Tamandua tetradactyla: one gene and its partner. The protein of the gene in region 1 purifies or fractionates together with the protein of each later gene. This does not show direct contact. Links are inferred from orthologs where the notes say so. Each region holds a gene or a part of one and is shown on either strand. Other genes may lie near its edges. The genes, in order: OSBPL9 and VAPB.

What was found.
Region 2: the proteins of OSBPL9 (region 1) and VAPB purify together in Homo sapiens (affinity purification with mass spectrometry; 7 studies listed by BioGRID and IntAct, counting the BioPlex papers as one, with this or other methods). This does not show direct contact. The link is inferred for Tamandua tetradactyla from reciprocal best matches to the Homo sapiens genes OSBPL9 and VAPB.

The regions. Positions count from the first base shown.
Region 1 is NC_135328.1:170,566,284-170,581,674, reverse strand, and holds the start of OSBPL9 (oxysterol-binding protein-related protein 9), read left to right. Parts: upstream 1-8,492; 5' UTR 8,493-8,674; coding exon 8,675-8,850; intron 8,851-9,591; coding exon 9,592-9,632; intron 9,633-11,536; exon of another isoform or gene 11,537-11,683; coding exon of another isoform or gene 11,684-11,693; intron 11,694-15,391. UniProt on the Homo sapiens protein: Interacts with OSBPL11 to function as lipid transfer proteins.
Region 2 is NC_135327.1:26,999,541-27,014,999, forward strand, and holds the start of VAPB (vesicle-associated membrane protein-associated protein B/C), read right to left. Parts: upstream 7,227-15,459; 5' UTR 4,426-7,226; coding exon 4,272-4,425; intron 1-4,271. UniProt on the Homo sapiens protein: Endoplasmic reticulum (ER)-anchored protein that mediates the formation of contact sites between the ER and endosomes via interaction with FFAT motif-containing proteins such as STARD3 or WDR44.

The DNA of each region.
Region 1 (15,391 bases):
AAGTCTGATTTGTTCTCCACTGTGTACCCAGAGCACTTGGTACAGAGTAAAGTGCCCATTAAGATTAATGTGAAATTGCCCACACAGTGCCAAAATACAGTAGACACTTGATAAATATCAGATTTATTCCAACAGTCTTCCTTGACAACAGTTCAAAACATACTTAATAGATTTCAGGCCGTGAACCCGGAGCCCGTGAGAGAGCGGGTGAGCGGGGTGGAGCGCGAGGCGAGACAGGGCCTGAGCGACTAGGGGAGCAGCTGCTGCAGCGCAGGCAGCTGGTCCAGCGGGAGGAGCGCAACAGACCACGTGGCCTCTCCATGAAGGCAGTGACGGAGCTCAACCCACCTCTGTCCAGAGAATATCGCAATCTCTCTGTGGTCTATAGGAATGTGGTTGGTACTAGGCGAACTCGCTGGAGGGTGATCAGCAGCATTGAGCAGAAAACCATGGCTGAAGGAAATGAAAAGAAATCGGAGAAGGTTAAAGCCTTTCGGGAGAAGATTGGGAAGGAGCTGGAGACAGTTTGCAACGATGTCCTGGTTCATCAAGAACTGCAGTGATTTCCAAAATGAGAGTAATGTATTTTACCTGAAAATGAAAGGCGATAACCACTGCTGCTGGACAGAGGTAGCCTCTGGGGAGAAGAAAAACAGTGGGGTCTAAGCTTCTGAGGCCACTTACAAGGAAGACTGAAATCAGCAGAGAGCACATGCCACCAACATTCTTCTGGGTCCGGTCCTCAACTTCTCTGATCTACTATGAGATCCAGAATGCACGTGAGCAGGCCTACCTCTGAGCCAAACAAGCCTTCGATGATACCTTAGCTGAGCTGGACACACTAAATGAGGATTCCTACAAGGACTCCACGTTCATCATGCAGTTGCTGCAAGACAACCTCACCCTCTTAACTTGGGATTGGAGAGATGAAGAAGCAGAAGGCAGCTAACAATCCTATGGATCCCTGGCCCCGCCTTCACTCTTCCCCCTCCCCCATTATCTCCTTCCTTGTTACAATCACTAAATATCTAGTGTTAAGCCTGTCTGTATCAGCAGCACAGCTACTCGGATCTGCTCCCCTGTCCCTAGGGAAGCAGTTTCAGATAAATCTTTATAGGCATTGCTGGATCGATGGTTGCTTTGAGCCCACTGGAGCTCTTTTTTTGAATTATGCTGACAAGTGCATTCTGAACGAGGCATTTTATTGTGCCTACTATCCACTGAAATCCAAGCGAAAGTAGAGGGGAAGTTTAGAAAGGAGAATCAGCCACCATAGGCTTACAGTTGATATTTTTAAAAGCTGATAGTGTTTTGTTAAGCAGTAATCTTGTGCATGCAAAAATGAATTCACTCCTCCCACCTCTTTCTTCAGCAAATGGAAAACTGTTAAGGGACACTGATACAAAGAGACACCCTGCCCTTTTCCATCAGTTTTATAATAAATCGTTTAAGGGGAAGTTTCAGTAGTATGTTGTTTTGCCTCTTTAAATTATGGTGTGCACAAACCTTCTTTTCAATGCCATGCATTTAAAGTTTCGACGCTTGTAACTTTTTGGCGGGTGGGTGGGGATTGCGATTGCTTAAGAATCACGGATTTGTTTTTTGTAACTCTTTGACTATTATCCTTTTGTATCCTGATAGCATCATGTGCATCTACCCATGTCAATCAAGATGGGTGATTATGAAATGTCAGACTTCTAAATTAAATATTTTGGAATTCAATGGGTAAATAAATGCTGCTTAGGGGATATTAAAAAAAAAACAACATACTTAATAGATATCAGAAACAGATCCTGATGTAACAGGAAGTTAGATCAGGGAGGATCATGTGCACAGGGTCAATCGGTTCACATGTTTTTTAAATTTTTTATTTATTTAGTGCATTCATCCCTTGGTCCACTTAATTGTAGTCATAACAATCTATCATTAGCTATATAGAGGAGTGTTCAAAATCATCAGTTCTACACTCCAGATGGTGTACTTACGTATGCAGGGAGTTGTACCAGTATTGCTGTGTGTGTCCAAATCTTCCGCAGATTTAATTACAAAGCTACAAAGTGAATGCATAAATTATGTACAAAGGCCCATGTTTTGGAAATCACAGTGCAGCCTTGGGAATTAGATAGGAGGTTAGATCTTTGTAATTGATACACTCCCACTTAAGGGTTGAAATTCTTTGGATCTGTGACAGCCTCTTTCTGTCTACACGATTAGCTGGATATTTAAACTCCAAATACTAGATTTCAGAAAGAGAAGAACTTTGCAAATGGTTTCCCAATCTGGCGTCGGGCTCCCTCTCCAGCTATTTCCCACCACGGGTTCACTTGTTTTCCTTGCCCCAGCCATGGGAAAAATGTTCCATTTCCCAGATGCACAATACAGTTTCAAGCCATTGCACTTTTGCGCACACAGAAGGCCTATTCCTAGTAGCTACTCCATAAGTGACAGTTTCTCCTCCCTGAGTAAGAAAGTTCAAGTAGAATATTATCTCTTTTGGAAGCTCTTCTACTTCCTCTAAAAAGAAGGGAATAAAAGGAATGCATTTGATTTGGCATTTATTATGCAGAGCACTATGCATGGTCCTTTGCATTTATCATCTTATTTAATCCTCAGGTCAATTTTCCCAGAAATTTTTCTTATTCTCAGTTCTACATGAAGTACTTAACATCTAAAATGTTAAGTGTCTTAGCCTACGTCCCCCTGCTAGTCAAGGGAAGAGATGGAATTGGAATCCAGGTTTGCCTGACTGTCTGCCTCAGGCAAATTAGTTGTCTCATTCTTGGGGTTCTCAAACCTGTTTCATCATACCATTGCCCTAATACATACCTCACTGTATTGATCATGGTTCTCTAGGGAAACAGAACCAACAGGAGATTATCTGTAAATAGTATGAGATTTTTTTTTTTTTTTCACATGGGCAGGCACCGGGAATCGAACCGGGGTCCTTTGGCATTGCAGGCAAGCATTCTTGCCTGCTGAGCCACCATGGCCCAATAGTATGAGATTTTATAAAAGTGCGTCACACAACTGTGGGGATGCACAAGTCCAAATTCTATAGGGCAGACTACAAGCTGGCATTAAGATGAAGGTCTTCAATGAATTCCCCAGGAGAAGCTAGCTGGCTAAAGTAGAGACAAAAGTTCTCTCTTCTGACTACTGAAGCTATCACCTCCCCACTAAAAGACTTCAGCTAATTAGGTTAAATCTCTCTCGGAAGACACTCTGCTTAGCTGACTGCAGATATAATCAGACATAGATGCAATCAATGTATCAATGATTTAAGTCCAAGAAATGTCCTTGCAGCAACAGATCGACCAGTGCTTGCTTGATCAGATGAACTGGGCATCATTACCTGGCCAAGTTGACATATGAACCTAACCACCACACTCACGGTATGGTAATTCATTTATATAGCTTTATAATCTGCCTCCTGTACTAAACTTTTGAATCAGAGACCAAATCTCTGTAACATTAATGCCTAACCACCATGACTGGCATCCAGTCATTACAATACAAACAGAATGCAAGACTCTGAAAAATCAAAGAATAGAAGAAATTTATTGAGCTAAAGTAGCATTTATGCTGGAGCAGCAACAACAAAAAGGTTACTGCTCAAAAGGCCTGGGTTCTAGAAGGCAGCTTTCATGCTTGTTTGGGACAAAGGGAGGATGTGGGGTAGGGGTGGAGAGGGACAAGGAAGACATGATTTGTCTAGAGCAGGGTGTCATTAGGTCATAGTCTGTTCATTAGCAACCTATACAAGCAGGATTGTTTATGCAAGTTTTGTGGTTATCTGGTAAGGATTAGCAGACTTGCTGGGGTCAGTTTAACTCGCTTATCACAGTGAAGGCAGGGGTCTTTATCAGCACTGCAAACGATCTTTGGCATGTCAGCCTGCCTCAGTTGCTCTCTGTTTCTTCTTTGTAGTTTCCTGGGTAAAATGGGAGTTCAAGGAGATCAAGATAATTAGTATAGCTATTAACCATTCCAATTTCACACTCTTATAGTCAGTGTGTAGGCCATGTTGAAGCAGGTGTTTTAGTTTCTTAGTTGCTAAAACAAATATCATACTATGTGTTAGTTTGACACAGGCATTTATTGGCTCATGGTTTCAGAGGCTAGAAGGCTTGCTTCCTCCCAGGTCGGTATCTTCTGCCTGGCCTGCAATCTTTGGTGTTCTTTGGCTTTTCTGTCACATGGCAATGCACACAGTGATGTCTTCTCCTTTCTCGTCAGGGTTCTCTTGACTTCTGACTGCTTCCAACAGCTTCTCTCTGTTTGAATTTCACTCTATTTATAAAGGACTCCAGTAATCCCCATTAAAGCCCAATCTGATTCAGTTGAGTCACACCTTAGTTGAAGTAACATCTTGAAAAAAATGTGGATCAAGACCAAGAACATATCTAAATTGGCGTATACAGTTCAATCCACCACAGGGGGCAATAGTGAATTGGATTAGGAAGCTACTGCAGAGGTTTAAGTATGAAATGGTGAAGGCTTGAACCAACATAGTAGCAGTCGACATGGAAAGGAAAGAGTAGGTGGTTAAATTGGTAAAATTGACAGGGCTGGTTCATCTCCTGGATTGGGGTATTTGGTGAGGGAAAATAAAAGAGTGGGTCTTTTCTAGGTTTCTGGCATGAATAATGGATGGTGGTTCCATTCACTGAGATAGGGATCACAAGAAAAGGAGAGGATTTGGTGAGAACTTATCCTGTTTGGTACAGGTTGAATTTGAGATGAATTTGAGCGTCATCAAGTTGAGATGTTCAGGAGATAGCTGGACCCAGAGAGAATAAAATGATTAGAGAACTGTCCCATGTAGGCAGTATTTTAACTATAGAAGTGGATGAGATCTCCCTGGGACCATGGGCAGAATGAGAGTGTATCCCTGTGAGTCATTATGATAAGGAAATCATTACCCCACTCATGAAGGTGCCAGGCTAAAGGGCACATGTTTGGAGCCTGGCGGCATTTGGGAAACTTTCGAATCTCCCTTGGCTTCAGCTTCCTGAAGGACTAGCCTTGATCATCCTCACCATTTTTTGAGAGAGTAAGGTGAAGCAGTTTTTAAAGTTTTTTTTTTTTAAGTTTTATTAACACACCACAACCATCCAAAGTCTACAATCAGTGGCTCTCAGTAGAATCAGTCATACTTACATCACCACAATCAATGTTAGAACATTTTCATAGCTCCATAAACCAAAAACCCATGCCCCTTACACCCCCATTATTGATACTTAGCATCAGTGTGGTTCTTTTGTTACAATTAATGGAAGAACATTAAGATATTACTGTTACCTGTAATTCATGGTTGGCATTAGGTGCATTTCCCCCCATAAACAATCCTGTTATAAACACCTTGTAGCCGTGACATACATTTGTTCTAACTTATGGAACACTCTTTTATTTAGATACTATTAACCACCTTCATCATCCACAACAGTGTTCAGTGTTATAAGTTCCATTTCATCCTCTAGCTTTCCTTTGAGTGAAACAGACAAACCTAAACTTCCCCTTTCAATCACAATCACAACTGATAATGTGTTACCATCAGCCTTATCCGTTGCCAGACATTTACAATTAACCTTTAAAAAAAGTCCTGCACACTAAAATGAGCTGGGACTCAGCATCAAGGGATTGGGAAAACCTTCTAGACCAAAAGGGGGAAGAGAAAAATGAGACAAAATAAAGTGTCAGTGGCTAAGAGATTTCAAACAGAGTCGAGAGATTATCCTGGATGTTATTCTTACACATTTTATAGATTTCCCCTTCTTAGTTTAAGGTGTATTAGAGAGGCTAGAGGGAAGTGCCTGAAACTGCAGAGCTGTGTTCCAGTAGCCATGTTTCTTGAAGATGAATGTATGATGATATAGCTTTTGCAGTGTGACTATGTGATCATGAAAATCTTGTGTCTGATGCTCCTTTTATCTATGATATTGACAGATGAGTAAAAAATAAGGATTAAAAATGAATAAATAATACGGAGAACAAAGGTTAAAGTAAATTGAGAAGATGGAAATACTAGTGAACAATGAAAGGGAGTGGTAAGGGGTACAAAAAAAATAGGGGGAACAAAGGTTAAAATCTATTGAGCAGATGGAAATAATAGTGGTCAATGAGAGGGAGGGATAAGGGGTAAGGTATGTGTGAGTTTTTTCTTTTTTCTTTTTATTTCTTTTTCTGGAGTGATGCAAATGTTCTAAAAAATGATCATGGTGATGAATATACTACTATGTGATAATATTGTGAGCCATTGATTGTACACCATACACAGAATGTTTGTATGTTAAGAATGTTCATGTCTACATGTTGTTTTGGTTTGATAATACAAAACATATTAAATTTTTTTAAAAATCCTGCACTAATTAAGCATCATTTCCCCACTCTCTATCCTCATTCTATCTCCTGATAACAGCTATTTTAGATATTAACTCCTTAAGTTTGCTCATTATATTGAGTTCATATTAGTGAGATCATATCGTATTTGTCCTTTTGTGTTTGGCTTATTTCATTAAACACAGAAATGTTCTCCAGGTTCATACATGTTGTTGCATCATCCGAACTTCATTCCTTCTTACAGTGGAATAATATTCCACTTTTTTTTATACCATATTTTTTTTATCCATTCATCCGTTGATGGACATGGCTTGTTTCCATTTTTTGGCAACTGTGAATAATGGTGCTTTGAACACTGGTGTGCAAATGTGTTTGCATCCCTGCTTTCAGTTCTGGGTATATACTGAGTAACAGGACTACTGAGTAACAGGGTCATATGGCAGTTCTATACTTAGGGGAAGCACTATTCTTAGTAGCCAAAAAAAACAGACCTAGACTACAACTACTTGAAACACTCTAGGTGCAGTGGAGGGATTTCCCACAGCATCTATTTTGTGACTAGGCCAATTGAGAATCATGAATGTGTTCATCAAGAGCCTGAGCACTTGAGGCTGGTGGCTGTCGATCACTCTTCTTCTCCAGGTTGTGTCACATCTCATATCCAAAAATAGAAAGCAAATCCTATCATCATCCAGACTCCAAATAGGATCCAGGTCCCATCGCTCATTTCTATCATCAGGTAAACATTTATAAAGAGGCATACCAGCAGGAGGCAGGCACAGCGGGGATCTTGAAGAAAAGAGGGGTGGGGTCCTGGGGCTGCCTCCAGATGATGAAAGTAACAGCAGCAATAAGTACCAGTAGCAGAGCAGTCTCCAGTGTATAAAGTGGGTCTCCAGAAAACAAGTGCTTGGGCCACTGGTCCAGGATCAGGTACAGGGCGGTCAGCAGCAGGACAAAGAGAAAGACACAAATATTGATAGTTTTGCCAGATTTCAGCATAGGGAGGGTGTTGGTGGAGTTACACAGACATTTTTAGAATCTTGAAGGTTTGGGCTTCAGGTACAGATTCCAAGGACTTTGCCTCACATACAGACTTCATCTCAAGTATGTCCACCTGCACTTCTTCATTTTTGCTTAATTTCTGGTCTGGCTGGTATCTGAGAGCGAGATCGGAGAAAGCCACCAGGGAGTAAGAAAGCAGGGTCCCAAACGACATGAGGTCCATGAGATCAGCAAACTCCAAGAGCAATGCCATGAGCACAGCAAAGACTCTAGAGATCACAGTGGCTGTGATGGAGATCTGTGTGTGAGTGTGGGTCCAGGCTAGGCTGTAGAAAAGGAGCCCAGCTTCGGCCATTGCATAGGCCACACGAGGCATGGAGACCCTGGAGCCCAGGAGGCTGGACGTTAAGAGCACAGAGGAAACCAGCAGCCACTGTGCATATGGCAGGGGCCCATCCAATGTGAAGAAAAGCCTCTGGCAAGGGCTCTCAGGATAAATCTGGTGGTAGGGCATCATAAGGGTGAGAGTCGCTGAGACACAAAAATGCACCAAAGAGCAGATGATGAGTGAGATCACCATCCCCAAGGGGATGGGTGGCTGAGGATCAAGGGCTTCTTCCCCTGTAGTGGCAATGCTGTCAAAACCAACAAATGCAAAGAAACACGTAGCTGCTCCACGGAAAATTCCACTGAGTCTGAAAGGCATAAATCCTCCAGAGCCCAGAGTGCCCAAGCTTTGGGTGCCATCATATGCCATGTTGTAGTCCTCTTTTGTGAGCTGCCCGTTGTGCAGATCCCCCTTAATGACGCCGGAGATGATTACAAACCGAGAACCAAAAATATTCACGCTCATGAACACTTTCGTAACAAGCGCAGACTCTCTAGCTCTTTGAGTCAGCAGTCCAGTAAGCAGCAAAATTAGGCCCGGGAGGAAGAAGTCTGGATACTTGGTCAGGATGTGGGGCACATACAATGAGAAGCTGCCCTGCAGCACCTGAGAGATGCGGTTTCCAATCAGGTTGTCAAAAGTAGAGCTCCAGGCCCCTGCGACACCAGCAGAACCTATGGCGTAGAGTGAATGAGGTTCCAGCCAGTGATAAAGGCCCACACTTCGCCCAGTGTGACGTAGCTACAGATAGAGACCAAGCGAGAGCACGGAACGCGGGGCCCCAAACACTGCGTAGCCCAGCCCGGCCAACACGGAAGACAAGCCAGCGACCGGGAAGCGGAGGGTGGTTGAGGGTTCACCTTTGCCAGTGGCCACTTCACCAGCCAGGTCTTACATGCCTGCCCTAGAGTGCTGCCTACACCCACGACCTGCAAGTCAAAGATGCTAAGACAACTGACCAAGCGACTCCCAGACAGCTCTGCCAGCTCCCAGGGCCGCTTGCGGCCCGGCTTCCGGCTGATATGGCGAACTTCCGGCCACAGCATTCTTGGTGCCCCGGAGGAGGATGCTGAGATTCGGACTGCTGTCCCAAGCCCTGGCGCACTAGACAGATCGAAGTCAGTGAGGTTCAGTTCAAACCGAGTCGGGCTGGAGGTTATGGATCTTCCAGTTTTTAAGTATTTTGAAGCTGCTCAAGACAGGGTTCACAGACCAGCAGTAGTACACCAGCTGAAAGCTTGTCAGAAATTCAGAATTCAGGCCCCACACTAGACCTAGTGATTCAGAATCTTAAATTTAGCGAGATCCCCAGGTGGTTTGTATGTACTGAGGTATAGAAAGCCAGTGCATCTTGAAACAGTTTAAAAGCACTGGCCTACAACACCTCCCTCAAAATTTCTTTGGCTCAATGTGTGTTGAATTTCCAAACCTTTAATAGTAGGGTTAAACTTTGTTCTATGCTCTAGCAACTGAGGGTTCATGTTCCTTTTTATATGTGAGAAACAGGGAAAACCCATATTAAGCCCTCTTCCTGAGATTTACTGATTTATCAAAAATATTTCCTGCCATTAACAGGCTTACAGTGCTGGTAGCTCCTAAATAGATTGATTGCTATACTCCATGGTTTCTCAATCTCAGCATTATTGACATTTTGAACCAGATAATTATTTGTTGTAGGGGGCTGTCTTGTGCATTATAAGATGTTTAACAGCATCCCTGTTCTCTACCCACTAGACACCACTAGCATCCTCCCAGGTGTGACAATATAAAATGTCCCCTAGTGACAAAATTGCCAGTAGTTGAGAGTCACTGATGTAAAGTCATTCCCAGAGATCGATAGATATATGCTTTTTTTTTAGGTGCAGGACCTGGAATCGAACCTGGGTCTCCTGCATGGAAGGTGAGCATTCTACTACTGAACCACCCATGCACCCTGTATACATTTTTTTAAGACAACTTTTTAAAGAGTTTTATTCACACACCATACAGTCCATTCAAAGTGTGTAATCAATAGCTCTTAGTATAATCACAGACTTGTGCATTTATCACCACAGTCAATTTGATCCTGTATACATTTTTAAATAAAATAAGATTGTACCACTTACAGATCTAAAATCATTTTATACCTATTTAATCAACTATATATAATTTTATATCTAATTTTTCATTTATCATTATATTTCAAACATACTTTTTAATGACTGCACAACAGCGCATTGGAGCTATTATAATAATAGATTATTATAATTTAATTTTTTCCCTATTGTTGGACATTTAAGTTATTTCCAGGGTTTCACTATTGTAAGCAACATCCTTGCCCTTAAATCTCATTCCTTGCTTAATGCTAAATTCCAAGGAGTTCTTGATAATATTTTGCTGTGGCCAACTGGAGAATATCCATGTTGCTCATGTGAAGGCAGACCTTGGATAATTGATATCCACAAACAATTTGCAAAACCCAAATAACTTACTGTCATGGAGGGATTCGGACACTGTGAATCAGTAGATGCAATAATGTATCCCAGACTCTCTGTCTGAAGTTTGTTCAGAGTTTAGGTCAGACACAAAGGATTGAGGGGACAGTTAGACCTGAGGGAGGGAGAGTTTGAAATGGCTAAAGTCCAGAGTAGCTGGGATGTGGGTCTCCCAGGGAACATTACACTGAGAGGAGAAAAGATGAGTTCATTCCTCTTTTCTCTCCTTAAAATATTTTCTCTCCCTTCCCCAGCTCCTCTCTGCCTCAGTATCATAGCTGCCTTTTCCTAAATTTGACACTTCTCTTTTTTTTTGCTCTCTAGCTAAAGGAAAGGATGGGAAAGAATGAGAACTTGCTGTCTGTGGACAAAAATAGGCTTTCTTTTGCTTTTCCAAGATTTAAACTGGATCATCTGTTTCCTCTACATCCAGAAAAGGGCAGTCAAGTTTTTGTAGGTTGCTGTGTTTTCTCTGAAGCAAGGCAGCTTTTTGTAAATGTTGTTTTATTTGATGCCCAACAAATGCCAATTAAGAAACATGACAACAATAACAGCAACAACAAAAAGCAGTTAGTGGGGAATTTAGGAAGAGAAGGCAGGAAACCAACAACAACAGAATACAATACGAAGTAATTTGCACCAACACTCCCAGCTGTATAAAAGTTGGAAATCATTTCTGCTAGAAACTACAAAACCACTTTTCTAAACAGATGTGTAAAGAAGGAAACTTCATCTCGAGAAACACAAGCAGGTTTTGTTCATCCTTTTTTTTTTTTTAAAATTGGTTACTCAGAAAATAATCATTCTCTCAGTTGTACAAGTTAGAAACCTTGGTATTATCTCTGACTCCCCTTACTCCCTCCTCTTCTAATTCCGTTATTTAGTGAGTTTTAACTTTTATCTACAAAAAGTTTCTCAATAAATATGCAGTGTAGTATCTTTCTTGTTCTTCATTCTTACTGCCATTGTCCAAGTTTACACTCTTTCTATTGCTTGCTTGGCTGGTTAAAAGGCTCTTTGTTTTCTTGCTTCCTGTCTTTCCCCTTTCCAATTTGTTTTTAATTTTCTGCCAGTATAATCTTTTTTTAAAATCACGTCTTTAGTTTAACATTTATTGATATACCAAATGCTTGGATGAAGTAGACCCAGTTCCTGCAGTTGATAAACTTATGTTTAATGGTTAACATTATGTCTCCCTTCTGACTCTGAGTCTAATCCTCTTTCCATGCTGCCCTTCAGCTGTCACTTCATTCTGCATGAGGCCAGGCACTGAGGAATGTGGGAATTTGAGCCTCTGTGTCTCTGCCACATTTAATTTTATCTGATGATCTAAAACATGTAGTTTGAGACTTTGTGGCGAATGTAGACAAAGAGCTACACAAGTGGACTTGATCTCATGAGTGAAGAACTGTCTTTCCTCTCAGTTCTCCCTGACTACCTGTGTTTAGACATTTGAAGCTGTAAGTAGAACCTGCTGATGATTATTGGTGAGCCCTGATGAAAGTTAAGACTGAGTTAGAAGTTGATGCTGCTGCCTGTGTCCTATCCAGGACATTTGTTTACACATATGCAATGCAAATATAGCTTGCAGCTGAGGTGGAATGAATCTGGGGTGTTGAGTCCTACATTGTAATTCTGGTTATGCTGTTTATTAGCTATGTGAACTTGTGCAAACCACTCTACAACTCTGTGTCCCAGTAGCCTTGTCTGTAAAATGGATGTAATAATACAGACCTTGAAGGATTGTTATGAGAATTAAAGGAGAAAATACAGGTAATGGTGCCTAACACAGTTCTTGGCAGTTAGGAGTTCAATTTTGGTGAAACCAATAATTCAGGTGAAGCAGTAGTTATTAAGTACCTTCTGTGTGCCAGGCACTGGGCTGGTTCTAGATAAAAAGATTAATGAAACCCAGTTCCTGCTCTTAAGGAGCTAATGGAGGACTAATAATCAACGCGTTGTAAATCTTTAACTCTATCTGAATCATATATCAAATCCTTTCAACTTTCCTTATCCTAAAACACATTAGCAACATGAGGCTGTGCCCTCAATGTTTCTCCAACATCAGGTTTCTAGGAGGAGTGTATACTGTATTTGGGGGGAACTACGCAGAGTAAATAAAAAGATAGACGTGTTTATGTGGATTCAGGTACTCAGATAACTTGCCTACTTAGTATTGTTAGGTCCCTGGGCAAGTCGGTTAATTACTGTGAACCTTAGTTTTCTTATTAGTAAAATGTGGAGACTAATGCACTCATTGTGTAATAACCCAATGGTTATTGAATTGTGATGCTTCGATGTGATGAAATGTGTAACAGGTCTGGCACAGGATAAGTAAAAAATGGTGGAACTAATAAGAAAAAATAAATCTAAAAGGAAAGAATGGCTTTGACTCATGCCTCTGATTAGCTGTAAGGGAACTGAGTTTCTTAATTTTTGATTTTATGGAAGATGCCAAAGGTATGCCTTCTTCTTAGCAAACTTTGTTGAATTGTGATAGAGACTACTACAAAGACAAGAAAGAAAAAGAGAAACTGGAAACTAACTTATATTGGCTGCTATCTCTTCCAGACATATTCTAATTTACTCATATTGGCGAGGAATGATTGCATTAATTATTTCTGAAGATGAAACTAAGTCCTACGAAGGGCTTATTCAGGCTCTGCAGCCAGAATGGTAAAGCCAGGATCTCTCATTTCTCTAACTCTAGGGGTCTAGAAAGAATTTCTTTCTATTCCATTTGCTGCCTCATATGGAGAGGAATTGAGAAGACATATAAAAGAGGATAAAGAAAATATTACTCAGGTTTGTTGATATTGGTGGAAGGCCTTAAAGGAGACAAAGTGTAGTTTGCAATGAACAGAATGAAGAATTCATATTGTGAGTTGGCAAGACTTCTGAGTGCAGGGGACAGCGTATGTGGTGTGTTTTCAGTAACTATGAGAATGGCCTTTTCCTAACACATACCACTGCTGTTTCAATTCTCTGAACAGATTTCTCCCTTCTTTGGTTCCCAATCACATTTTCTTTGTACTCCTCTGATGGCTTTCATTTTCCTCTGACTTTTACTAGTTTGTGTGTGTGACCTTTCCTTCTCACCAGATCTGAAGCTTCTTGAGGCCAGGGACTGCATCCACATAGCAATAAATCAGCACCTTTCATGCCATATGATCATTTTTTCTTTCACATTATATATGTGGTTAGATCAAGTTATCTATGGATTCTATCTCAGGAGGGTAAAGGAATCGTACATTTTTTTAAAAAGGAATGTTTGTTTAAAAAATTCTTCATTTTAGTAACATGTACAATTAAAATTTCCCCCGTTAGCCACTTTCAGATATATAATTCGGTGGTGTTAATTACAATTAAAATGTTGTGCTACCATCGTCATATCCATTATCACAACTTTTCCATGATCCCCAACAGAAATTCTATACCATTAAAGCTTTAACTCCCCATTCCGTAGCCATCCCCCACCCCTGGTAACCTGTATTTTAGTTTCTGAATGTAGGAATTTGCTTGTATAATTATTTCAGATCAGTGAGATTATACAATATTTGTCCTTTTATGTCTGGCATATTTCACTCAAAATGATGTCTTCAAGGTCAATCCATGTTGTCATATCATGCCATACAATTTTTTTTTGCATGGGCAGGCACCGGGAAACAAACCCGGGTCTCTGGCATGGCAGGTGAGAACTCTGCCTGCTGAGCCACTGTGGCCCGCCCCATGCCATACAATTTTAATACAGTGAATAGCCAAACTGAATAAATAAGAAGCTCTTTGAGGAGAGGGAGAACACGTTTTAAAACAAATATTTATGGAGTACCAGCCATATTTCAGGTATGCTCTGGTTGCTGGAGATACAGTTGTAAACAAGGCAAAAATCTCTATTCTCATGGAGATTATGTTTGCGGTGGGGGAGAAAATAATAACTATCTACCCCTCCCAGCATCTTCCACGGTATTTTGGGAGTACTAATTGAATGTTTATTTATGTAGGCATCTTGAGAGTGAATTCATCAGAAAGAGCATTGGGTTAGAGGCAGAAATGTAAAGCACTTATCACATTGTTTATATGTTGTTCTAATTAGACTCTCTTATGTTTAAGTGAGGGATCTTACTTTAGCTCAGGGCCTGGCACATAGGAGGGGCTGAATGATACCTTTGTTATTTAGTTACTGTGAGATTGGACAAGTCTCTTGGATTCTACCCATTTCCTCATCAGCTACATGAGGTATTACTATCTACCCCATAGGATGTTGTGAGGACTACATGCTTCTCTTGCTGCTTCTGAACCATTTTCCCTCCCTCCTTTTCCATAAACCTGGCTTCTTTAGTTAGGTTCTTGACATTCCACTTTACCATCTGTTATTCTACTTTGCTGCCATCATCTACCTACCCTCTGGGCATTAGCCTTCATTCAATGATGATTTTAGCTCCTAGTTTTCTCTTCTTTTACACTGCTATCCCTGTAATTATTCTGGTTGACTTCAACATGTACTTGGATGATATTATACAACTCCTTTGTTTCTCTGTCCCTCGACTTCCTCGTCTCCAAATCTGTTCCTCCACCTGACCTCATTTGCCCAAAGCCATCGTCATATATTCATCTTTGTCCTCATCAGTAACTGTTCCACTTCCCAAGTCTCAATTTCAGGCGTCACATTTTCTTTCCACCACTCCCTACCCTTCCATGTCACTTACTCCCACTCCAGCACTATTGAGAACTCCATTTCTTCATTCTTTCCCCTCTTGTTCTCATTTCCTGCCTTAGCCAGACTAGGTTTCAGTCTGTAATTATAATCACTCCCTTGGGTATCATTGTGAATTTATTTGTCCTTCTCTGACTTCACAGGCTCACTTGGTTAAATGCAAATATCTATCTACTTTGACCTTACTTTTTTTTTTTTCATGGGCAGGCACTGGGAATCAAACCCGGGTCTCCAGTATGGCAGGCGAAAACTCTGCCACTGAGCCACCATGACTTGCCCTGAGCTTACTTTTGAATAGTGTATCATTACTGGAGAAAAGCTGACATCCCACTTTAAATGCATGAACATAAATCTTAAATGGGAACTCAGACTGTTCAGCAATCCCACTTCACATCTGTGGCTTTCTCAATCTCTGAAATCACTCTTTCGTACCTTCCCCTCTGTCTTCAAATATCCGTATCCACCCTTGCC
Region 2 (15,459 bases), on another chromosome or scaffold:
TCTTTGATTTGCATTTCCCTAGTGGCTAATGATGTTAAGCATCTTTTCTTGTGTTGGTTGCTGAAAGTATTATTGAGAAAATATAAGAGAACAATTAAATGAAGAAGACTAAAGACAAAATCCTGGGAAATAACAATGTCCAGTAAAAAAGATGGGTCAGTTCACCAGGAAAGTCAAAGACCAATGAAGAAAAGAAATGTGCTTAACTGAGAAGAGTTGGGAAGTAATAATTTCTTCTGACTGGAGAAGTTTGGTAAGCTTTTCTGAAAGAATGCATTTGCGCGAATCTTTGAAGAACAAGTATGATTTTCAAAGGCAGAGGAAGGGGAAAATAGAAGATATATTTCATCCAAGTTGTACAGCCCTTTCCCTGGCCTCTTGTTGAATTTGTTTAAAAAACTGCTGACCTGGTTGATAATCTCTTTTCACCAGCATGGCCACTTAGATTTTCTACTGAAAAGGAAACCAGACCAGATTACACACTAACTGATAAACCACATTCTACTGTTTCTCATTGTTCATAAATTGAAAATTCAAGTTGGACTATGAAGGTACCGAGTTCTAAATGTTTTTTTTTCCTCTTTTATAGAAACTTTATTATCAATGTGAAGCATATGGAAACAGAAGAGAAATTTCAGACACTAGTAATAGGAATCACAAGTGATAGAAATGGAATGAAAGAACCCAGGATGAGGAGACATCCTCTGAGATAGGAGGGAAAGAAGGGTGGAAGCATAAGTTTGTAGAAAAGAAGCATTTGGAAGGAAATCTTTAAATATTTTCAGACTAAAATGCACCATGTTCCTTCTCTCTTTTCTCAGCATTTTCCTTACACATCTGCTTTCTCCTCACAGATGACTTAGACTCAGAAACTATGAGTCTGTCATACACCGTGCACTGTGGAGGCCCTGGTATCTGGGAATAAAAGGCACAGTTCAAAAAGCCAAAAGGCTAGGTGACTAATGAGGAAGGTAGTCAAGTGACCAAATCCACTATAACGTTCTGAGTGTGTGAACCCAAGGGAACAGGCCACAGTGGTGGAGAGTGTCAGGGAAGTAACCTGCAAGGAAGTCAAGCCTCTGCTGAGCCTTGAAGGTAAGCAGGAGGGGCAGCAAAAGAGGAGGACGACCTAATTTGCACTGGTGGAAATAGCATATTCAAAAGTGCTTTGGCCACAGGGAACTAAAGGCAGGAGGGGAAGCATGAGAAAAGATAAGGGTCAAGAAATCAAGGGAGGGCGGGCCGCGGTGGCTCAGCGGGCAAAGTGCTTGCCTGCTATGCCGGAGGACCTCGGTTCGATTCCCGGCCCCAGCCCATGTAACAAAAAACGGAGAAACAGAATACAATAAAACAAGAAAATGTTTAAAAATGTTTCCCTTTCTTCCTTCCTTCCTTCCTTCTATCCTTCCTTCCTTCTCTCTGTCTTTCCTTAAAAAAAAAAAAAAAAAAAAAAAAGAAATCAAGGGAGACAAGTATAAATGATTTTCTAGAACTTGTGGAAGGATTTAAACATTATTCTTTTGGTAACAGAGAGACAATTCATGATTTTAAGCAAACGAGTTATGCTCAGATTTGCCTCTTCATAAGTTCCTTTGGGCGTCAGTGAGGAGAGAAGAGGACTCAAACAGAAAGACCAGTGAGGAGGCTCTTACTGTCATCCAGGAGGGAAATAAGCAGCAATAGAAAGGACAGGGAAGTACGGCAGACTTGAGTCACAGACTCTGGGTCTCTGAGCAGGGCAACTGTGTGAATGTGCATATCATTCAATGAGACATATGCAGAAAGAAGTTTGGGGAAGAAAGGAAAAGGGAGTAATGACGAGTTCAGTTTGATGCATGCTGCATTTGAGGTATCTGTGGCTCCACATACAGGCTTGGGTCAGGCATGGGATTATATATGTCTAAGTGATGTTAAAAGCCAAGGGTAGAAGGGTGCACGGGTAGTTCAGTGGTTAGAATACTCGCCTTTCATATGGGAGACCTGGGTTCAATTCCTGGGCCATGCATCCAAAAAATATATAGCCAAGGGTAGAAAACAAATGTAACAAAATAAGGTACGAGTGGCTGACAGAGTCCAGAGTTGAGAGGCTATTCTGGAGACTACCCTTTGCAAGCTTCAGCTAGACATAGCTAATTGTCACGGTTTGCCAAACCAACATCATTCACGTTAACCCTAAAGAACACCCAGAGTGATAATTGAGACTATATAAAAATTTCATGCTCTAAATTTACTTTCCAGAAACCCATAACCTCCAGATGGTTACTAGGCCAGATAAGTCCTAAAACCCAGAAGGACAAGCCTCTTCAAGAGCATCACTTAATTCCATTCCCCTATCCTAAATTGATGAATCCCCTTTTCAACATGAAAAAGTTAAAATGGGCATAGCCCAAAGACTCCTACAGATTTGGGAGAAGGTCCAAAGGAGAACGAGGAACTATAACAGAGAATGACAGGATTTAACAAATGAGTATGATTGCTGAATCACCATACTGATATTTCTTTTAGTCTTCAGTGTTTTGGAGCAGCTAGAAGGAAAAATCTGAAATTATGGAATGGTAACGCACACCAAATTTTGAAATCTGCTCTGTAACTGCTTGTTAAAATATACTTTGAAAATTATTACGTGTGTGTTTGTGCGTGTGTGTGTATGCTATATTTCACAAAAAGAAACAAACAAAAACAAGGAGCCCTGTAACAAACAGGAAGGCAGATGGGTATACAAAACTGAGTAAGTCAGTGGTGGAAGCCTGTTGCCTTACTTCTCCTTGAAGAAGAGCTAAGTTACTGGTAGAAAACCTCCCAAGAAGAAGAGGGGTAAGGAGTACAGGAGGGAAGAAAGAACGAAAAGAAGGGAAGTGAAGAGTGAAGGGGAGAAGAAAGAGGGAGAGAAGAAGAACCTGTAACCCTGAGTCCAAGAGGACTCCATGAGGAGTGAGCAAAAATGGCCAAATGTGTGTGGAGGAAAACCCGAAAAGAATGATTAAGGAGGTCAAGGGAAGTGTGTCAAGAAGCAGGAATGGTGATGGGTGGCAAATGCTACAGAAAGCACACTATGGTGAAAAACATGTAACAACAGATGTAGTGATGAAGCAATATTTAAGCTCCTGAGCAATGATTTTAGGAGTGAATGGATGGTGAGAAATTTGAGATTAAGACTACTCTTTCCAGAAGCTATCAAGACAAAAAGGGAAGGCTGGAGAAAACAGAGCAATTTTTCTTTTTTAAAGGTTGAAGAGACAGCACTTAAGATGTTTAGTGAAGATGACTAATTATCAAGCATGGTGTTCAATGCGAGGTATATAAAGAAAGAAAAAGAAACTATTTACATTAAAAGGGAATGACAACAAAGAATTCATTAAAAAATAATAATAATAAATGAAATGACCAAGTTTTCTCTGGAACTCTCCAAAAGACCTTTCATGTTTCTTCCACCTCTGCCAATCCCTTAGCTAGATTAGAGGTTAACTAGGCAACCATGATAAAATGGGATTCCCCTGCTCCCAAATTTCATGAGAATTTTTGACTGTGCACGTCTATAGATTCTCTAAGGAGTGATCTATGGCTTTCTTTCATCCAATTAGTAAAGCAGTGCCTGACTTTAAAAAGGTCAAAACAGACCAATTTAGATTTTCTAGGCAGTCAGTCCATCAGGATACATTCATATGCCAACAAATCAATTCAACCAACAGAATGAGAATTCAAATAAGTCTCCACAAGGACAAACCTTTGGTTTCCTCTTTTTTATTCTTGTGTGTGCATCTATTTCAAATGATCATACTAAACATGAAAGATGATCAAGTCTAGGGCTGTTTACATTCTCTGGAATACCAGAATAAAACAATAGTAAGAAAAGAATACTTTGCACCAGCCACTACTAAGAAATACTCAAGAAACAAAAACCTTTGCTGCTTACATTCTAACAGGGAAGACAAAGCAATGAGTTAAACGAGGTACCCAAAGAATAACTGAAAGATGAAACAAAACATGCAAGTGATGTACAATTTGAGGTAATGTCAAAATACCTTCAATAATACCCAAGAAAGTTGAGTAGAAGTAGTGAGGTTTTAAACAGAACAAGAGGATTCATTAATTAAATATTTGGGAAACCACTAGGTCAAAGCACTGGTAAATGCTGTGGAAAATACAAACCCTGGAATCCACCCTCAGTGGGGCTTTCCATCTTTCTTTTTCAGCTAAAAAAGGTTTTAGTCTCATGTTCACAAGGCTAGAGCTGAAAGGAGTTAAGAGGTATAGAGTTCAAGCCTACTCACCTTGAGAGGAGGAAAAGCTCAGGAAGCTGAGTGCTTCTCCAGCCTGGGGCATCCAAGCCTCTCTTTGTAATGCAAAGTGTACAAGCTTTGCAGGCTCAAAGATCTTGAGGTGCAAATTCAGATTCTGCCAAGTCCTGGGCCTTGGCTCTCTCATCCCTAAAAGGGAGATGATGATAATACCAACTTCTCAGGTAGGTATCACTCCTTTCCTTTTCTTTTCCTACTATACTATAAATGTTAAATGATATAACTAAAAGGCTGAAATGGTACCCAATTAACTCAGAAACATATTGTTTGTGATGACAGACATCAAGGAAATAAAGGACTCAGAAAGCAGGGACTGGGGTGGTAAAAGAGAACATACAGGGATAACATTAGCATATAATTTTCAAAACAAACTCACAATGAGAAGTGATCAAAATAGAATATAAGTTCTTAAAGGAAAGGACAGAACTGGTAGAAAGACTTCTTTTACCAGTCAGCCAGTTGCTCTAATGCCCCAGGGCAACTCCGCACTTGACAGAAGTGTGCCGCATGAGACAATTACTAGATTACAATAAAGCACGTTGGTTTTTTTTTTAATCTTTTTCTTTTTAATACACTTTCTGTATTCCCATGATTCTGTTTCCAGTCCTCCTTTCATCTTCCTAACAACATAATAAGAAAACCAAAGGCCTTCCTTGTCCACTAAACCTTGAAAAGTTGAAATATAGCAAGTAAATTGAAACTGAAACATAGCAAGCAAACTGATAAAGAACATGGCCTTTGCAGTCAAACAGATCTTGGTTCAAATCCTAGTTCCAACCTGAGTCATGAACCCAAGTATCATAACAATACCTTAGGCTCTAGGCTCTACCTACTCATTTGTTGTAAGAATTAAATAAATGAACACTCAGGAAAATATCTAATACACAGTAAGCATGCCAAGTCACATATCTCAAATGTCACCTTCCCTGTGAAATACAACCCCCAAGTAGAATTAATACAGTTTTTTCTAAACTCCCAATGAGGAACTGCCATGTGTGTTCCTTCCTCAAATTCTCCCTTTCCCTCACCACCGAGAGGGTGGAAACCTTAAGGGCCAGGACTTCCTCCCTAGCCCCAATCTTACCCAGTGCCTGACCTATAGGAAGATTCCAATGTGGGGTTATGGAACCAATTTGAATCAGAGTTGTATTATATCCTACCAGCTAGGAAACTGTCTGTTCTAGTTTGCTAGCTGTTGGAATGTGATATACATCTAGGGATTAGAAGAAACCGTTGCTCCCACAAGACTGACTGGGATTAAAACATGGCTTTTCTAAGGTACATAAATCCTTCCAAACCAGCACACTGTCCAGAGAGAAAATCTCAAGGGATGAGCTGTGGAAAAGGAAGAAATCCAAAATATCCCCAATTGTGGATAATAATCTATCATGTATGTGATAATTATATTCATGATGTCTCTAGATTCAATCTAATCCTGTCCAAATGCTTGGGCTGTGATCATTTTGAGGAATGATGAGTTCCCAAAGTACGTGTCATATAAAATAAAAGAGCACTTTTTGTTATTCACCTTAAGTTTACCTCTTTCTATACTCTAGGAAAGTCTCTATTATATATATTAGCTCACTCCTTCTTGCTTCTTTGCCCAAATAGTGGCCTAACAGGAGCATGTAGGACTAAAGACTATATAGCCCCACTTGTAAAGTTTAAGTGGCACCTAAAAGGTAATTTATTTTAAAGGTGAATTATACATATTTGGAAATGGATAGCACAATACCATGTGATGGCAGAACACTACTGTGAGTGTAATTAACAAGGCTGAGCATGAGTATGGTTGAAAAGGGAAGACTAGGGTCATGTATGTCACCAGAAGGAAAGCTGAAGGATAAAGTTTAGAATTTATAACATAGTGAAATCTACAGCACACAATGATTGTGGTTAATTGCACAAATTTAAGAAAGTTTTTACATGAACCAGAACAAATGTACCTCACTAATACAAGATGTTAATAACAGTGTGGTATATGGAAAAAAATAAATTAATGCAAACTGAAGATTATAGTTAACAGTAACACTGTAATATGCTTTCATTAACTGTAACAAAGGCACTATACTAAAGCTAAACATCGATAATAGGGGTGTGAACCTTGTATCTGATGCTCCTTTTATCTACCTTGTCAACAGACGAGTAGAACATATGGAATAAAAATAAATAACGGGGGAACAAATGTTAAAATAAATTTAGTATGAAATAATAGGGGTGTGTAAGGGGTATGGGATATTTTTTCCTAGAAGAAAGAAGAATATTTTCATACTAACTGTGGTAGTGAATGCATTAACTATGTGATTATACCTACAGTCATTGATTGTACACTTAGGATGGATTGTTTGATGTGTGAATAAAACTGTTAAAGAAAAAAGAAAAACAGACAATTCCTTTAAGAAGGAGGAAAAAAATGCATTTGGCAATCTTCCCCTTATACCTTTTAGACCATATTAAACAGCATTAGAAGCACACAGACTTTAAAACTTTGGTAGAATGCAGCTGCAAAATGGTCTGAGTTACTGCTTTCTCTTTATTCTTTTATTGAAATCGATAAAGTTTAAGATTTCTATTTAAAAAAAGGATAATTTTTTTAGACGTTCCTAACTTAATAAGGACCCTTAATTCCCACTTTACAAAAATGCAAATCTGTGAAATCTCTAGCACACAGAAGTTTCACCCTACTTTCCAAAGACTCAGTGGCAGACCTGCAAATTAAGTGAAATAAAATGGTCACCAGCATTGGTGGGAGGAACCCCTTTTTGAGAAAGGATTTTCTGGAAACAAAAACAATGGACCCACCAGGGGCATCTAAGAAAATGGAACAATGGAATATATCTGTAGAACTGCAGATAAGCAATACCTGGTAATAGACCAGTTTCAGTCTAGTAAAATAGCTTATCAGAATGGACAAGCATACCACACTAGCCAATGCATATCTTTTTTTTTTTAATAATATCTTTTTATTATTTTTATTTTTAGGGAAGGAAAAAGCGAAGAAAAAGAGAATGAGAAAGAGAGACACTAAAAGAGAGAAAAACAGAGGAAAGGAGAAGAGAGAAAGGAGGGAGAGGAGGAGGGGGGAAGGAAGAAAGTAATGTTGGCAGCTAAGCATCACATTTCCCATCTGTCCCCAAATTCTTCACCCAGGTCATACTAGAGTAAAATATCAGAGAAGCTGCACTGACTTTCCATGTTGGAGCTGACCACTTCTTAGCCTATTATTCAAAGCAACTCATAAAGTTCGCCTGAGCCTTGACATTGTCATCTTTACCAGAGTCATAATATCAAGATTATATAGTTTCTATCCTTTCTTGTCTAGCTTATTTCACTGAGGATAATGTTCTCAAAGTTCATCCACGTTGCCATATGCTTCGGGACCTCATTTCATCTTATTGCTGCATAGAACTCTATTAAATGTATTTCCACATTTTATTTATCCATTAGTCTGTTGATGGACACTGGGACTGCTTCCATCTTTTAGCAATTGCAAATAGTGCTGCTATGAACATCCAGTGTGCTAATATCTGTTTGTGTCACTTCTTTCAGAGTCAATGTATATCTTCCATTTAAAATAGAAACTTAATGTCAGCCAAACAGAACATTTCTTCATTTACTTTTGTGTTTGTTCTATATAAGTTCCCCCTTCTCACCACTCAGTAGAGCTCCTTTACACATATGGTTTTGATGCTGCCCAATTCATGAATGATAAACACCTCAAATAAACTCCCATAATTAATATTTTATCTAATATTTTTAACAGTTTTGGTGTCAAAAGTGGGATCTGGGGTTCCAGGAGCCATGTTGGGAGGGGCGACACAGCCTCCGCAGCTCCAGTTGCAGTGCCCTTCCCGGTTCCCCCAACCTAACAGAACAGTTACTGGGGGAGTGGAGACAATACAGAGCAGCTCCCGGAGCCACGACGGAGATCAAAGGGACGGCGTACCCCATCCTGGAACGGCTGACTGTCTGGGAGAACCAGCTCCAGTGAGATCACCGAGGGGCGCGGGCTTTCCCGGGCGGGACGGCAAACGGCTGGAGTCCCTCCCTTCCTCCTTCCCAGGCCAGCTGGCAGAATTGGGCAGGCGGTCCCCTTGGGCCACGGCGGCTGGCGCCCGCACCATGCAAGGCCCCCCGGACCAACTGAGAGAGTTGGGTCGGAAATCCCCAGACTGCGGAGAACAGTGACCGGGGGGTCCCTTCAAAACACGTGACTCCCCGGTCAGGCTGGGAACAGTGCACTCTCCCGGGCTGCAACAGCTGGCACCCTCCCACCACGCTTGGCACCCCGGGCCGACTAGGAAATTCGGTCGGGCGCTCTCCCGTGCTGCAGCGGCCGGCGACCCTCCCTGCGTTCGGACCCCCGGGCCGGCTGGCACTCTTCCAAGACGCTTCGGCTGCTGAACCTCCCCTACGGCGAGAGTCTTTCAGAGTTAAAGGACCCACAGCAACTTTCGCTGGTGGAACCCGTAGACAAACGTGTGCCACGAGCGCCACCTACTGGGCAGGATAAGAAAAACAGAACCCAGAGATTTCACAGAAAAATCTTTCAACCTGTGGGGTCCAACACCCAGGGAAATCTGACTAAATGTCCAGACGCCAGCAGAAGATAACGGATCACGCTCAGAAAATTGAAAATATGGCCCAGTCAAAGGAACAAACCAATAGTTCAAATGATACAGGAGCTGAAACAACTGATGCTGAATATACGAACAGAAATGGAAAACCTCTTCAAAAACGAAATCGATAAATTGAGGGAGGACATGAAGAAGACATGGGCTGATCAAAAAGAAGAAACAGAAAAACTGAAAAAACAAATCACAGAGCTTATGGAAGTGAAGGATAAAGTAGAAAACATGGAAAAAACAATGGATACCTACAATGATAGATTTAAAGAGACAGAAGATAGAATTAGTGATTTGGAGGATGGAACATCTGAATTCCAAAAAGAAACAGAAATTATCCGGAAAAGAATGGAAAAATTTGAACAGGGTATCAGGAAACTCAAGGACAATGTGAATCGCACAAATATACGTGTTGTGGGTGTCCCAGAAGGAGAAGAGAAGGGAAAAGGAGGAGAAAAACTAATGGAAGAAATTATCACTGAAAATTTTCCAACTCTTATGAAAGACCTAAAATTACAGATCCAAGAAGTGCAGCACACCCCAAAGAGATTAGACCCAAATAGGCGTTCCCCAAGACACTTACTAGTTAGAATGTCAGAGGTCAAAGAGAAAGAGAGGATCTTGAAAGCAGCGAGAGAGAAGCAATCCATCACATACAAGGGAAACCCAATAAGACTATGTGTAGATTTCTCAGCAGAAACCATGGAAGCTAGAAGACAGTGGGATGATATATTTAAGTTACTAAAAGAGAAAAACTGCCAACCAAGACTCCTATATCCAGCAAAATTGTCCTTCAAAACTGAGGGAGAAATTAAAACATTCTCAGACAAAAAGTCACTGAGAGAATTTGTGACCAAGAGACCAGCTCTGCAAGAAATACTAAAGGGAGCACTAGAGTCAGATACAAAAAGACAGAAGAGAGAGACATGGAGAAGAGTGTAGAAAGAAGGAAAGTCAGATATGATATATATAATACAAAAGGCAAAATGGTAGAGGAAAATATTATCCAAACAGTAATAACTCTAAATGTTAATGGACTGAATTCCCCAATCAAAAGACATAGACTGGCAGAATGGATTAAAAAAACAGGATCCTTCTATATGCTGTCTACAGGAAACACATCTTAGACCCAAAGATAAATATAGGCTGAAAGTGAAAGGTTGGGAAAAGATATTTCATGCAAATAACAACCAGAAAAGAGCAGGAGTAGCTATACTAATATCCAACAAATTAGACTTCAAATGTAAAACAGTTAAAAGAGACAAAGAAGGACACTTATACTAATAAAAGGAACAATTAAACAAGAAGACATAACAATCATAAATATTTACGCACCGAACCAGAATGCCCCAAAATACGTGAGGAATACACTGCAAACACTGAAAAGGGAAATAGACACATATACCATAATAGTTGGAGACTTCAATTCACCACTCTCATCAATGGACAGAACATCTAGACAGAGGATCAATAAAGAAATAGAGAATCTGAATATTACTATAAATGAGCTAGACTTAACAGACATTTATAGGACATTACATCCCACAACAGCAGGATACACCTTTTTTTCAAGTGCTCATGGATCATTCTCAAAGATAGACCATGTGCTGGGTCACAAAGCAAGTCTTAACAAATTTAAAAAGATTGAAATCATACACAACACTTTCTCGGATCATAAAGGAATGAAGTTGGAAATCAATAATAGGCGGAGTGCCAGAAAATTCACAAATACATGGAGGCTCAACAACACACTCTTAAACAACGAGTGGGTCAAAGAAGAAATTGCAAGAGAAATTAGTAAATACCTAGAGGCGAATGAAAATGAAAACACAACATATCAAAACTTATGGGACGCAGCAAAGGCAGTGCTAATAGGGAAATTTATTGCCCTAAATGCCTTTATCAGAAAAGAAGAAAAGGCAAAAATGCAGGAATTACCTGTCCACTTGGAAGAACTGGAGAAAGAACAGCAAACTAATCCCAAAGCAAGCAAAAGGAATGAAATAACAAAGATTAGAACAGAAATAAATGAAATTGAGAACATGAAAACAATAGAGAAAATCAATAAGACCAGAAGTTGGTTCTATGAGAAAATCAATAAGACTGATGGGCCCTTAGCAAGATTGACAAAAAGAAGAAGAGAGGGGAAGCAAATAAATAAGATCAGAAATGGAAGAGGAGACATAACTATTCACCTCACAGAAATAAAGGAGGTAATAACAGGATACTATGAACAACTTTACGCTAATAAATACAACAATTTAGATGAAATGGACGGGTTCCTGGAAAGACATGAACAACCAACTTTGACTCAAGAAGAAATAGATGACCTCAACAAACCAATCACAAGTAAAGAGATTGAATTAGTCATTCAAAAGCTCCCTAAAAAGAAAAGTCCAGGACCAGACGGCTTCACATGTGAATTCTATCAAACATTCCAGAAAGAATTAGTACCAACTCTCCTCAAACTCTTCAAAATAATCGAAGTGGAGGGAAAACTACCTAATTCATTCTATGAAGCCAACATCACCCTCGTACCAAAACCAGGAAAAGATATTACAAAAAAAGAAAACTACAGACCAATCTCTCTAATGAATATAGATGCAAAAATCCTCAATAAAATTCTAGCAAATCGTATCCAACAACACATTAAAAGAATTATACATCATTACCAAGTAGGATTCATCCCAGGTATGCAAGGATGGTTCAACATAAGAAAATCAATTAATGTAATACACCACATCAACAAATCAAAGCAGAAAAATCACATGATCATCTCAATTGATGCAGAGAAGGCATTTGACAAGATTCAACATCCTTTCCTGTTGAAAACACTTCAAAATATAGGAATACAAGGGAACTTCCTTAAAATGATAGAGGGAATATATGAAAAACCCACAGCTAATATCATCCTCAATGGGGAAAAATTGAAAACTTTCCCCCTAAGATCAGGAACAAGACAAGGATGTCCACTATCACCACTATTATTCAACATTGTGTTGGAAGTTCTAGCCAAAGCAATTAGACAAGAAAAAGAAATACAAGGCATCAAAATTGGAAAGGAAGAAGTAAAACTATCACTATTTGCAGACGATATGATACTATACGTAGAAAACCAGGAAAAATCCACAACAAAATTACTAGAGCTAATAAATGAGTACAGCAAAGTAGCAGGCTACAAGATCAACATTCAACAATCTGTAGCTTTTCTATACACTAGTAATGAACAAGCTGAGGGGGAAATCAAGAAACGAATCCCATTTACAATCGCAACTAAAAGAATAAAATACCTAGGAATAAATTTAACCAAAGAGATAAAAAACCTATATAAAGAAAACTACAAAAAAACTGCTAAAAGAAATCACAGAAGACCTAAATAGATGGAAGGGCATACCATGTTCATGGATTGGAAGATTAAATATAATTAAGATGTCAATCCTACCTAAACTGATCTACAGATTCAACGTAATACCAATCAAAATCCCAACAACTTATTTTTCAGAATTATTAAAACCAATTAGCAAATTTATCTGGAAGGGCAGGTTGCCCCGAATTGCCAAAAACATTGAGGAAAAAAAACGAAGCTGGAGGTCTCGCGATGCCGGACTTTAAGGCATATTATGAAGCCACAGTGGTCAAAACAGCATGGTATTGGCATAAAGATAGATATATCGACCAATGGAATCGAATAGAGTGCTCAGATATAGACCCTCTCATCTATGGACATTTGATCTTTGATAAGGCAGTCAAGCCAACTCACCTGGGACAGAACAGTCTCTTCAATAAATGGTGCCTAGAGAACTGGATATCCATTTGTAAAAGAATGAAAGAAGACCCGTATCTCACACCCTATACAAAAGTTAACTCAAAATGGATCAAAGATCTAAATATTAGGTCTAAGACCATAAAACAGTTAGAGGAAAATGTAGGGAGATATCTTATGAATCTTACAACTGGAGGCAGTTTTATGGACCTTAAACCTAAAGCAAGAGCACTGAAGAAAGAAATAAATAAATGGGAGCTCCTCAAAATTAAACACTTTTGTGCATCAAAGAACTTCATCAAGAAAGCAGAAAGACAGCCTACACAATGGGAGATAATATTTGGAAATGACATATCAGATAAAGGTCTAGTATCCAGAATTTATAAAGAGATTGTTCAACTCAACAACAAAAAGACAGCCAACCCAATTACAAAATGGGAAAAAGACTTAAACAGACACCTACCAGAAGAGGAAATACGGATGGCCAAGAGGCACATGAAGAGATGCTCAATGTCCCTGGCCATTAGAGAAATGCAAATCAAAACCACAATGAGATTATCACCTCACACCCACCAGAATGGCCATTATCAACAAAACAGAAAATGACAAGTGCTGGAGAGGATGCGGAGAAAGAGGCACACTTATCCACTGTTGGTGGGAATGTCAAATGGTGCAACCACTGTGGAAGGCAGTTTGGCGGTTCCTCAAAAAGCTGAATATAGAATTGCCATACGACCCAGCAAAGGTATCTTTGAGTAGATACCTTTGCTAGGTATCTACTCAAAGGACTTAAGGGCAAAGACACAAACGGACATTTGCACACCAATGTTTATAGCAGCGTTATTTACAATTGCAAAGAGATGGAAACAGCCAAAATGTCCATCAACAGAAGAATGGCTAAACAAACTGTGGTATATACATACGATGGAATATTATGCAGCTTTAAGACAAGATAAACTTATGAAGCATGTAATAACATGGATAGACCTAGAGAATATTATGCTGAGTGAGTCCAGCCAAAAACTAAAGGACAAATACTGTATGGTCCCACTGATGTGAACGAGAATAAACTTGAAATATGTCATTGGTAACAGAGTCCAGCAGGAGTTAGAAACAGGGTAAGATACTGGGTAATTGAAGCTGAAGGGATACAGACTGTGCAACAGGACTAGATACAAAAACTCAAAAATGGACACCACAATAATACCTAATTGTAAAGTAATCATGTTAAAACACTGAATGAAGCTGCATCTGTAGGGGTTTTTTTGTTTTTTTTTTTACTATTATTACTACTTTTATTTCTTTTCTCTATATTAACATTTTATATCTTTTTCTGTTGTGTTGCTAGTTCCTCTAAACCGATGCAAATGTACTAAGAAACGACGATCATGCATCTATGTGATGATGTTAAGAATTACTGAGTGCATATGTAGAATGGTATGATTTCTAAATGTTGTGTTAATTTCTTTTTTTTTCTTTCCGTTAATAAAAAATAAAAAATAAAAAAATAAAAAAAGTGGGATCTGAAGGACATGCTGATGGCAGCAAGAACAGACAAAAAGACACCTGCTGAGACTTTTGTGCTCTCTGCTCTCTCATGGCACCCAGAAGTCAATGGGAAAGTTCCTCCCAGATATGAGATCCAACTATGAGCAGTACTAAAGTTTGGTGGTCAGACTAAGGGTCCAGTTAGAGTCCAATAAAACTGGTTAGAGTCTGGATAAAACAAGTCTGGGGGTCAGTCCACAAAGACTTGAGTAAATTACATGGATTCTTTTTTCAAAATCTGGGGCTCCCCGACTGAGATGCCAGCAGGGTACACGTTTAAAAGCTATGGACCTCAAACTAGTCTATTTTTACAAAAGCAGACTTTAGTGAGGATAATTCAGGATTGCAGTGGCCACAACAGAGTAGTTTAAGTTTAGATAAAGTAGTTATTCTCAGAGGACATTTAGAAAATAAAGGATCCCACATTCTCAAAAATAATGGGATGCATATTTTGACTGGTATTCAAAGGCATCAATCAATCAGTATTGATTTTCAAAATAACCTCAATAAAAGACTCCTTATAATAGCAAGTTAAAAAATTTTAAGAAATGAGAAGCTAAGACAACTGACAAGGACTACAAGCAAACTGACTTGACTCCTACTGTTCTTTCAGCCCCTTTCTGTTTAGCCTCTTTTGTCTAATTACTCAATCTACTAACCCTCATTCTCATTTAACCTTTAACTAAAGGCCACAAACAGATAAAAGCGGAATTCCAAACCAAGCCTACTGCTCCCCCACTTTCCCTTTACCCAGCCCTCCCCACAGCTGCTTTATCTGGTTACTCCTGACCCCCTGAGGGAAAATGATCTAGTACACGCTCTTTTAAAGAGTAAGCCTTCTGGGCAGGCAACGGTGGCTCAGTGGCAGAATTTTTGTCTGCCATACCAGAGACCCGGGTTCAATTCCTGGTGCCTGTCCATGTGAAAAAAAAAAAAAAAGATTAAGCCTTCTGCAGAACCTGGCATGTCTGTTAGTACAGAATTTAAACCTTGGACCTGAACTCAATTAAGAACTACAAGTAAAGATTTTCCCAATTGAGACCAGCAAATACTAGCATAAGAATTAAGAATTCTTCTGGGTGCCTATGATCCAGGGTTACCCTAACCCTGACCTATATGATGAACTTGAACCCTTATTGGTCAGAAGCTCAGATGCTAAATCCTGGATGGTAAAAGCTGACTGGATGACCCAGAAAAGGACCTACAAATTCCCTCTTTCCACAAT